Linked DNA regions of Schizosaccharomyces pombe. The protein of the gene in region 2 binds, or shares a complex with, the protein of the main gene of each other region. Each region holds a gene or a part of one and is shown on either strand. Other genes may lie near its edges.

Evidence for each region.
Region 1: mge1 (region 2) and tim16 share a complex: the UniProt entries of both Schizosaccharomyces pombe proteins name them as parts of the PAM complex.
Region 3: mge1 (region 2) and tim14 share a complex: the UniProt entries of both Schizosaccharomyces pombe proteins name them as parts of the PAM complex.

Annotation. Positions count from the first base shown.
Region 1 is NC_003423.3:884,641-888,158, reverse strand, and holds tim16 (TIM23 translocase complex subunit Tim16), read right to left. Parts: upstream 1,667-3,518; 5' UTR 1,544-1,666; coding exon 1,495-1,543; exon of another isoform or gene 1,430-1,494; coding exon 1,092-1,429; 3' UTR 512-1,091; downstream 1-511. Other genes in the region: plasma membrane proteolipid Pmp3, read left to right, coding at 17-160; SPOM_SPBC713.09 (uncharacterized protein), read right to left, coding at 1,972-3,117, 3,159-3,200. UniProt on the Schizosaccharomyces pombe protein: Essential component of the PAM complex, a complex required for the translocation of transit peptide-containing proteins from the inner membrane into the mitochondrial matrix in an ATP-dependent manner.
Region 2 is NC_003423.3:4,020,479-4,024,290, forward strand, and holds mge1 (GrpE domain-containing chaperone mge1), read left to right. Parts: upstream 1-2,038; 5' UTR 2,039-2,068; coding exon 2,069-2,740; 3' UTR 2,741-3,294; downstream 3,295-3,812. Other genes in the region: Fe-sulfur protein Isa2, read left to right, coding at 1-276, 346-517; vma7 (V-type ATPase V1 subunit F), read right to left, coding at 724-950, 1,009-1,144. UniProt on the Schizosaccharomyces pombe protein: Essential component of the PAM complex, a complex required for the translocation of transit peptide-containing proteins from the inner membrane into the mitochondrial matrix in an ATP-dependent manner.
Region 3 is NC_003424.3:1,693,489-1,697,140, reverse strand, and holds tim14 (TIM23 translocase complex subunit Tim14), read right to left. Parts: upstream 2,126-3,652; 5' UTR 2,040-2,125; coding exon 2,037-2,039; intron 2,010-2,036; exon of another isoform or gene 1,990-2,009; coding exon 1,942-1,989; exon of another isoform or gene 1,889-1,941; coding exon 1,517-1,888; 3' UTR 657-1,516; downstream 1-656. Other genes in the region: hydroxyacylglutathione hydrolase Glo2, read right to left, coding at 1-309, 452-570; HOPS complex subunit Vps16, read right to left, coding at 2,420-3,652. UniProt on the Schizosaccharomyces pombe protein: Essential component of the PAM complex, a complex required for the translocation of transit peptide-containing proteins from the inner membrane into the mitochondrial matrix in an ATP-dependent manner.

The DNA.
Region 1 (3,518 bases), 3.1 Mb from region 2:
CTAATATATGACACAGGTAATTTTCGCCATTATTCTCCCTCCCTTGGGCGTTTTCTTGGAACGTGGCTGTGGTGCTGACGTTATTATCAACATTCTTCTTTGTTGTCTTGGTTACGTTCCCGGTATTATTCACGCTCTCTATATCATCTTAAAATACTAAGCATCCCTCTATTTCAATCCTCTAATATTTGTTCTTTTCGCTACTTATCATGTTTATAAAGGAAAGTGAAATAGACATGTGTATTCTTTGCTTCTTCTCTTGTCTGTTCTAGGAATTTATTATTCGCTTCATTTAATACCAAATGTTGTGAGGATATCATGGCTTTTGTATTAGTAAACAAAAAAACGGATTTTCTTTACTAAGAAAAAAGTTCAAAATAGTATCACGGTTGTTTGCACTCATTTTTTTTTCCTTTCCCAAAATCGACTGTGCTTAACCATGATATCTTTTTTTATCCATAATTGGGCGAATGATTTTACCGTATACTTTTTGCTATAGCCCAATAGTCTTCTTGTTTTACATAAAAGAATGTTTTATCATTTGCTCAACTGGAACTTATATTCTTTAAATATATTAGTTTAACGGTTCTTTTTTTTGTGTCTTATTCATTATTTGTAACCAAAATGTATTTCAATAGTAGTGTGTAATGATTGATATCTGGGAATAGATTAGATTATTGATCTCTTCATGGTGCCCGCAGCCCAGTCTAACTTTAAGGATTGGCCAGCGACAGTTAAAAGTCGAAAAGTAAGTTTTGGCTTAACCTCAGGCTCTCGTTTGAAGTCAATCCATATCAATGTACATCTCTCATCACATTGACAATATATGGCTCTGGTTTAACGGCATTGAGGGTATGTGGATAGCTAGACTAGTGTTAATTTTCCTTTTATCATAGTACAGGGCATATTCAAAAAAATATGAGGATATCAACCTCCTCACATTTCTTCAACTATTCGTAAACAAAAATATATCCCATTGCTTCTTTTTTTCTTAAAAAAAAAAAAAAGATAGATTCCATTTTACATTAAATTAAGGTAGACGTGTCGGTAAATACGTAGCAATAGCTAGCAACCCAAAATCAAAGAAAGTTTTAAGGTGAACTGGTTGGTTTCGCTGGGGATTGTTCTTGTATTTTTTGATCCAGTTCACTTTTCAATTTTTCATGAGCTCGGAACACTTTGCTCTGGAGGTAAAAAGATCCTCCTTTTTTAGGATCATTAATCTCAAACATTTTTTGAAATCGTTTTTCTAACTCTCCTTCTTCTAATGATTCTGGCTTAATGTTTAAAATGCTACCAGCTTCTTGAATAGTCATTTCACCTCGACGAACAGCAGTTGATGATTTGGAAGCAGCAGCTTGACCAGTACTTTGTTGAGCTGCATTAGCAATCATTTGCTTATAAGCTTGTACAAAAGCTTTGCTCATTACTAATATTGTTAGGGTTTTTAATCTTTTGAATAAATCCTTGATAGGAGAATGGCCACAAACATACCTTGCGAACCAACAATTATAAATCGACCGACAGCCCTTGGAAGCGACATTTTTTAATGTAATATAGTAATTTTGAACAAATAATTATGATAAATGTCTTCCTTTATTTTATTTTCAGACATACACATGCCCTAAACAGGAATTTTCACAAATTTTCTTGTAAAAAGGGTGGTGGTAAAAATTCCTTATAAGGCAGATTTCATATCAAAGAATCTAATACTACTTCCAAATTACAACCTTGATTTAATAATAAGAAGCATAAAGTTCACTATTTTAGACAAAAAAATATTAATATATTATGAATTTGCTTTATATTCTTTACTTTGTTTTACTACTCGTCACAATTCAAAGATCATGTAAACTGATTGTAAATTCAAATCATCTTATTCATTAGGGCTTCTTATACTCGCTGAAACAGTATGGTAATGGAGCTTAAACATAGTGACTTAATAATAAATATCATATTAAAGCTTTAACTTCATACTGAAAAAGGAATGCCGTGAGCACCGGGAAATCCAGTCAATGTCAAGTCAATTGAAACGTTATCGATTACCTCAAAGTTAGTAGGATCTGGAAAAAGTTTCTCGGTCACGGAGCCAGGCTGTTCAAAATGCATCGCTTCAAGTTCCTTCAGCCTTCTTTGACATTCCGCAAACTCAACCATCGCTAGTTTATAACGTTCAACAGCTTCTTCCAAAAGTTGCTTTTCTAAAGCAATGTCCGAAACCTTTTTTTCCAATGAGTTGATCAACTCCTTTTGTTCATGAGTTTGGTTAGCAGTTTTAGAGCCTTCAGAGCTTTGTTCTTTATTTTGCTTTATCGCGGATTTTTCACGCTCCTCAAACTCCTTGAAACGATTATTGAAATTCTCGTTAGCTTCACTGAGTTTCGTGGCACGTTCATTTAAACTTTTCTCATGTTCTTCAACCTTTAATAGACGATTTTCAAGGTCCTTTTCACGTTTTTTAAGATCATCTTCTTTTCCATTCATCTTCAGTTCTCTTTTATTAATCTCATTCTCTCTGATTAACAGTTTTGACTGGAATTCCTCAAGAGCGGCTTCTCTTTTGGATACGAGTGTCTGCTTTCCTTCACTGTCATCCGCATTAGCTTTTAATGTTTCATAATCATAAGTTAAGTCGTTAATGCGTTCTTTTAATTCTTTGATTTTCTTATCCTTTTGTTCATTAAGATCATGCAGGGTTTTTACTTGTTTTTCTAGTTCATCTTTTTCTTGACTGCTTGTACTTCGAGAAGTGACCTCTGTTTCAACGTTCTTTTTTATTTCACCATCAGGCTTGGCTGCTTTATCCTCACTTTCTATTACCGCTAAATCCTCCTTCTCAGGCTTCTCCGCAACCGACTCATCTACAGAATTTTTAACGACATTTTCAGATGTTTCCGGAGACTGAGTAGAAGCATCGCCGGTGGATGCCTCAGCACCTTCAGCTGAAACTACATTCGAAGCAGAAATATCCTCAGTGTTTTCAACTACTTGAGTATTGTCATTGCCTGTAGGCTCATTTACTTGATTATTGCCATCATTAGATTCGCGGTCAACATTATCTTCGGCAACTGAATTTTTAGATTTAGCTTGGCGTTTTTTCTTCTTGACCTCCAGCAACTAGCACTCGTAAGTTAAATGTTACAAAATATTATGCATACCCTTTGTTTAGCTGCAGCTAGCTTTTCTTCACGATCTGACATCTTCAAATTTGATACAAGATGAAAATAAATCAACAGGGAGTTGTAGTGTGGGCAGAATCAGTAAAGTATAGGTAAGTAGGGAAAGTTTGCGTGAGGCTTAACAAGTCCACGGATAACCAAGCATACTAAATAAAGTAGAAACATAAATATAATATATATTTGATGAATGAAAAACTTAAAAAAATGGATTCATATTTTTTATACGCTAGAGAGTATAGGTATATTTTATTACGCTGATTCGGTTTGAAAATGAAGGAAGATACTCTCCAAAGTTAATGCAAGAGCAGAATCCTTTCATTAGTTTTTAAAGATTACTAT
Region 2 (3,812 bases):
AGAAATATTTCCCAAAATAAATAATGAATTCAAAATCAAAAATCGATTTTATAGCTCAAAGCTTGCGAACGACCAATTCACGCTTCAAGAGCAATGTGACGAGAAGGGAATCCCTTTTATTTTATACGTGAAAGATTCAGCGAAAAAACAGTTAGAAAAAATTGCAGAAAGGAAACCAGAAGAAAACTCTGTTTTGCGCGTCACTGTCGATGGTGGTGGATGCCATGGATATCAAGTATCTTTTCGCATGGACAACAAAATTGGAAATGCTGACACGTAAGTGATGTGGTTAAGAAGACTATAAGTTTTAATTAAGTATTTCCTGGTTATTGACTAAATATCTAGGGTATTTGTGCGTGGAAAAGCCAGGGTTGTTGCTGACAACATTTCATTACCTTTGATAAGTGGCTCTGAAATTGAGTATACAAATGAACTTATTGGTTCCTCTTTTCAACTTTTAAACAATCCACGTGCCAAGACTTCTTGTGGTTGTAATGTCAGTTTTGATGTTGAATGAGATTTATACTTAAAATAATACATTTCTCTTATAATCACTTTTCTATTTATCAAATATAGTTTAACAAAAACTCTGCTTACAATTTTTTGCTAGTATGCCAGTAAGTAAACCAAAAGATACAAATATAAAAGTGTCATCAGTCAAATCGATCGAGTTGTTGACTAATTGAAATTATTGCTCAAAAAATATAATTAAATATTAATAGTCTATTCTCCAATGATCTTTCTAACACGACGGAGGATACTGTCCTTTTCAGGATCATAAGGATCGTCTTTGCTAGGAATTTCCAATACAGCAGGGAATGCCTGCACATGGTTTTCAATACGATCACGTATTCTTTCAGCGGCAAACTGGTTAATCAATACAATCGCAATATCCTTCCTTTTCGTAGTATAATCATCAAAAGCTTCAGCAATCTGCTCATCTGTAGTCTCTACATAAAACAGCAAGTTAGCGAAAACACGATTCCATTTTTTAACAGATAATCTTACTCTGAGTAATTATAAAAAAGTTTTTGTCACCGTTTTCATTTACCTGACCAGTTCCAGCTAAAAGCATCCCAGTAACGGTATCATCGTCTCCAATTACAGAAACAAGTGTCCGTTCTCGATATGATTGTGAAGACATGATTTAGAGAGATAAGTATTTAGAAAATCTAGGTAAACGTCCAAGCAGGAAAATAGGAGAGTATGGTGCTACTTGAAAGCGCAACTTCTGGACTAGTAGGCGATTAAAAGTGTTCAGTGGTTGAATCGTAAATTTTCACAAAGCTTAGATAAATATTTAACAGAAAGCTATGGCTCTGCCTCTACAATCCTCAAATGTATTCCTGAGTTTAAGTAGTGATGGTGGATGAAAGTGTAAGGTCCAATACCGATAAGACATATCTGACACTTAACTAAGGTACCTTTTATTATGAAGACTTCTGTAATTAAGAATATGATATTATTATAATAGGAATTTGTGAAAATTCGACTCCCATAAATTGTTCAACAAATATCATTATGCAAATAAACTGATGAATGTAAAAATAATAAGATGGCCCAGATGACACAAATAGGATTATTTTAAAACTTAAATTATAATATTCAATTATTTTACTTTCAAAGGCTGCGAAGTAAGTACTTCGATATAATCCAATGCCGTAAAGCATACCAAGAAGGATATAAATATAGATGAGAAATCAGTTAATTATTATCTGTTGAGAATGAAGCTGAAAAGAATAAATTAATAATTGATAAGCATATGAGCCGTTGTTGGCTTCCAGTGTTGAGCAAATTCGAAATTTGGGTTGCTTTCCTACATGCATGTTCAAACCTACAATCAATTTGTTACATATCGAAATAGAAGCTTTAATTTGAGAAAAAAGTGTCATTTATATATTTTTTGAATCAGCTTCCATCTCAAAGTCCATACCTCATTTAACGAAACATAACGAATTTTTAAGTTGATGAAATTGATATTTGTAAAATTTAACAGTGCTAAGTTCACAACACCATTTGTCTATAGTGTGACACAGTTGTCTTTTACCACAAAGCTCTCACTGAAACAATGCTTGGGCTTGGAAGAGTATTTTCATCCGCTGTACGTCCTCGGACGCTTATTCGAGCACCCATTAATAAACGCAGTTTCCTTTGGTACTCAACTGAGGCTGCTAAGGAAGAAAAGCCTGCTGAAGAAAAAGTTGCCGAAACAGAGAATGTTGATGTTAAGGAACTTCAATCTAAGCTTTCTGAGCTTAAAAGTAAATATGAAGCAAAGGACAAAGAGGTTGCGGAGTTAAAGGGTAGCATTCGCCAAAGCTTAGCTGACTATCGTAATTTGGAAAACCGCATGAAGAGAGACATGGAGCAAACACGTGCATTTGCTGTTCAAAAGCTTACTAAGGATCTTTTGGATTCTGTCGATAATTTGGAGCGTGCTCTTTCAATTGTTCCAGAGGAGAAGCGTAACAATCGTGAGTCCAACAAGGATTTAGTTGATCTTTATGAAGGTTTAGCAATGACTGAATCGAACTTAATGAAAACCTTAGGAAAATATGGTTTAGTTCGCTATGACGGTATCGGAGAAGATTTTGATCCTAACATCCATGAAGCTGTTTTCCAAATCCCTGTTGAAGGTAAAAAGCCCAACACTGTCTTCCATTGCGAAAGCAAGGGTTTTCAATTGAATGGAAGAGTTATTCGTCCTGCCAAGGTTGGTGTTGTTAAGGGAGACGACTAGAGGAGCTAGTCAAAGATGATAGCAAGGAGCATACGAATACGTCGTTTCACCTATATTATTTTAATGACCAATTCGGGGTTTTTTTTTATTTTTAAACTCTCAATGTTTGTCTGGAAAGTCCTTTGTGGTATTATTGGATTTTTTCAGTCTTTTCAGGGGAACCAGAAGTCTTTCTGTGCAGATGCTTTTTTCTGCAAACTAATAGTCAAAGACAGATCGTAAAAAGTTTCATTGCATTTTTTGGGCTATGGGTACATTATTATATTTTTACCGAGGGGACTTGAATCCAATGTTTTTGTGTGGTTTGGGTTTATTGTTTAGTGATTTGCTATCACAACATAGTACCTATTTTTACTTACATTTATAAATAAAATTTTTACTCTTTAATACTATAGCTTTCACCCAAACTGGTTAAAGAATTTTGATATTTCCTTCTAAAGATTACTCAAAAGCATTTCTTTAAGAGTTAAAAGTGGAACCAAGTGGAAGGTATGTATTCTATCATTTAGTTTTATAGAATATTAAAGTTCCGAAAGTTGATATGTGCTTTAACGGTTAAGCCTCCTTTTCAAGTATTCGTAGAAGTTAAGCTAGTGTTCTGTATTACAAATTAGTAAGGAATTTTGACTAGTTTAGATGATTTTTTTGTTTTTTATAAAATAGATATGTAATAACAAACTTGCTAATAAAGTATTGATTGGAAGCAGCTAGCCTGTTCGAACTAAGCCATAGTATAAGACATTACTCAATCAGCCTAATCTAATAGATAGATATTCAAAGTTACAAATGATAAGCATGAGATCGTTTGTGGGTGATCCCGTTGCTTTTAACTTTATTAAGAATCTAGTCAATGAATAGTTTTTAATCCAGCACTGATATCGTCAGAATTGCATATTCGAGAGATATATTCATTTTTTCCAGCTCAGTAATTACACTATTACTAAATAAACTCACTTCTTAGCGATACACTACCGCAAGGGTTTACGTCTTTATTTAGATCAAGAAATGGTGCCTTGCATACTACTCGAACGTGGTGTAAAATTTACCCTTACACAATAAGTGTTGCTTGGCA
Region 3 (3,652 bases), on a different chromosome or scaffold from region 2:
GTAAAAAGAGTATCTCCAGTAAACACGGCTCTTTTTGAAGGAGAGGAAACGTAATAACAAATACTGTCTTGGGTATGGCATGGCGTATGAAGAGCCTCAACTTGAACTTCTCCAACCTTGAAAATCTCCTTATCTTTGGGAGTGTATGTGACACCAGATGCATTTTTTCCGCCATAGACCTTTAAAGAAGGAAAGTAGCTCAAAATGTCTTCGTTGCCGCCTGCATGATCATAGTGATGATGAGTGGTCAGAATGTACTGCAAATCAATTTCTTTCTTCGCCGTTTTCTCTTTTATGACAGGAATAACACTAGAGTTTGTCAATGTTAGTTTGGTTAATTAAATGTTACGGAGCGCACAAACAAAACAATTCGGAAAACAGGAGGAGAAAATCATGTTTCCGAAATCACAGATAACAGTATTTAAGTCGTTATTTCATTCTCTTCACTTACCTCTCAGGCTCAGCAGGGTCGACGATGGCAGTGATTTTGGTTTTATCACAAGTCAGCAAATAGGCATAGTTGTTGCCCGTTCCTTTCCACATCCATATGGGCGTAATATGAAAAGACATCGCGTTTCTTATTATCTTATGCACTTTAAAAAAAAATGAATATACTAAACTTCCTACTCTACTAAGAAACAAAATCTTAGAGAACGTATTTGTTTAAGTCAAAAAAAATTTGACAGTACGCACTTATATACGGTAACGTCAGAGTGATATGTAAAGGCAGCTTCTGTGTTAATAATCATTGTTAGAAGCGAAATTTCGATGTTTATTAATCAATTCATTTTTTTTAATTATGATTATGAAATAAATTTTTAAATAAACATACTTCATATAAACTGTTACTGAAGTAGGTTTTAACAATGTCATTCAAAGCGCAAAAGTCAAAAACTAAAATCATTTCAAAGAGTATACATTTTGTAAGGAATGATATTGTTTACGACTAAGGAAATCAAATGCTCGAATTCTTCTTTTAACTTATCCTTGTTGTGAATTGATACTCGGAATGCATGGAAAAGAACCTGACAATTTTCCATTGAAAACGTTTTGGAAAGTAAGTGTCCGGAAACATATGAGAGACTCAAATTTAATCTAAAAAAGAGTTAAACTATTAACACTCGGTACAACCATCAAAAAGGAGACAAAATCATTGACGCTCGAAATCAAATTACTAAATAGCTCCAGCGTAGAGAAAGAAAAAAAAATACAATTTCGGGGTTTCCTTCGCATTTTCCGAAAAAGGATTGATATAAGAGTACGAAAAGAATCGAAGGCGATGTACTATACGGAGCAAACACACATCTTTAGAAGCAAAAAATAAAATAAATTGACAAAAGGTGTCTGCAACTGAATAGTAAAAGTTTTTTGGAAAAGCAAACAATAATTCACACAATGATTAGTTCTATTAAGGGCATCATAGCTTTCAGCTAAATTTTAGCAAGAAAACATTAGTTCTCCAGCAGATACAGCACATAATAATATTAACAACGATGCAGACCATTATTCATCACTTTTAAGCTTTCGGTATGGAGCTGTATTCAAGCCATTTCACCGCTTCAAGAACACTAGGCATTGATCGCTGCTTAGAAACAGGGAGTGCCCATGAACTAAATTTTCGGATTGATCGATCTGCATCCAAAAGTGACTTGGCCTCGTTTACCTTGCTGGCTACATAAGGGCTACCACCCCGATCTGGATGATTTGCAAGCATCAACCTTCTGTGAGCCTCTTTTATTTTTTGTCGAGTTAAAGTACGGTTGTTCAATGACAGAATTTGAATGGCTTCTGCCCTAGACATTTTTGACTCAAAACCACCCTTGAGAAAGGCCTTTACTCCGCCATTCAAATTCCGGTATTTTCTGAATGCGTCAACACCAATTTTCCCCTAAAGTCATTAGCATTTCAAATGTCAAGCTTTTATTTTCTGTTTTCACATACTGCCGCAGCCGTTGCAGCGATACCGACTCCAAGGAGAATAGCAGACGACTAATCAAAAATAAGTTAGTTAGTGAGGCAAAAAAAAAATCTCATACCATTTGTTATATCTCAAAACTTATTTAATGTGAAAGAAGTAACCAAAAATATATATATTCTCCTCAATTCCCAATACCTTGAGGATAGTGGAGGAAGAAAGCTGGTTCTCCTTGTATATGCTTAAGTTGCCAATAAATAACAACTTTTAATCCTACTAATAAAAATCTGCATTACATAAAATTCAGGGTTTTATATTTCTTGTAAAATAATTTGTTAAAATTAATATAAACTAGCTCACAAAAAAAACTAACTATTTTACGGTAAATATCCAAATTATTCTAAATTCAATTGGGTTGCTTTTCATTCATGGATTCTTGTCATTAATATTTATATCTTTTTTTTTATCCTAAAAAAAAAAGATTGGTATTGATATCTCTAATAGTCATCGGCGTAATTGATCAAGTGCATTCTGAACAAACCGACTTTCGGGCATGGTCTGCACCCTTTCTAAAAGATCACCAAGAACACTCCCGCTTTTTGATTTGGCTGCTTCTTCGCTAGCACTTTTCACGTCCCCAACTTGAACCCACATATCCACTTTTTCTTGTGTAGTAAGCTGAGTACATCGTGGTATGTATTTAGCAGCCTCTTTTTTATTTCCGGCACTAAGGATTTCTGTAACAAAAGGCTCAAAACCAATTGGCGATCTTCGCATAGAGCCTGCCCATTGTTCAATCTGAACCCAATCACGGATGGCTACCAAAGCTCTTAATTTCAGCCAAGCAAATCTCTTCTCAGGAATCTGAAAGTCAGACCTCAATTTGTTTGCTCTTTGTGTTTGATTAATTTGAATCAATTTAACAACAACCTCATTTACTGTTAGCCCAACAAAATTACCAGTGAATTGATCCTCGTAAGTTTGTTGTAATTGTAATAATTTTATTTCATCTCCCAAACATTTTTCTTCAAGTGATAGTTCCTTGGATTCTGAACAAACTTTAGCTGCTGATTTTAAAGAGGTAATGCGCTGATTGACTGTCGCAGTTTTTAAAGTATCTTCTACCGCTAAAACAGCGATTCCTTGTTTGTTATCGTCCTGGTAAAAGAAGTCGTGTAAAGTTTTTCTATCATTCTTTTTGGCAAATTCAACGTAAACCTTAACTGCATCAGGATACTCATTTAAAATTTGAAAGAAAGACGCTATTGCCATTTGTTGTTTGATTTGAAGCACAACGTAAATAATCAGGTTATTGTCCATAGTTTCTATTACCTTTTTTAAAGCTTGCTCATATGCTTCCATGTTTAACAATAGCATTACTTGATGCTTAGCTAAAGGCTCGAAATCCAAGAGCTTTGTTGAAAGAATTAGTCGACCTTCTTGATAAGCTGTGCGAGCAATTTTCTCATATGATATGTATTTTCTGGACGAAAGTCGTTTAACAATATTATCCAATACAACCTCCTCTGGTTCACTAGATTGCTTTATGTACGTCTGAGCCCATTGTATGTAGACCCAATCACACGGAATCTGCATCCACATAGATGCCTGAACAGCGAGGCCATATAATTGTCTACACGAAAATCGTTGGATTAGCCTTTCTAAACCTAGATGCAAGTATTCTTCATGAGTAATGTAAATCCCAACATTGGGGTCTCTAGCAGCATTCAAAACTCT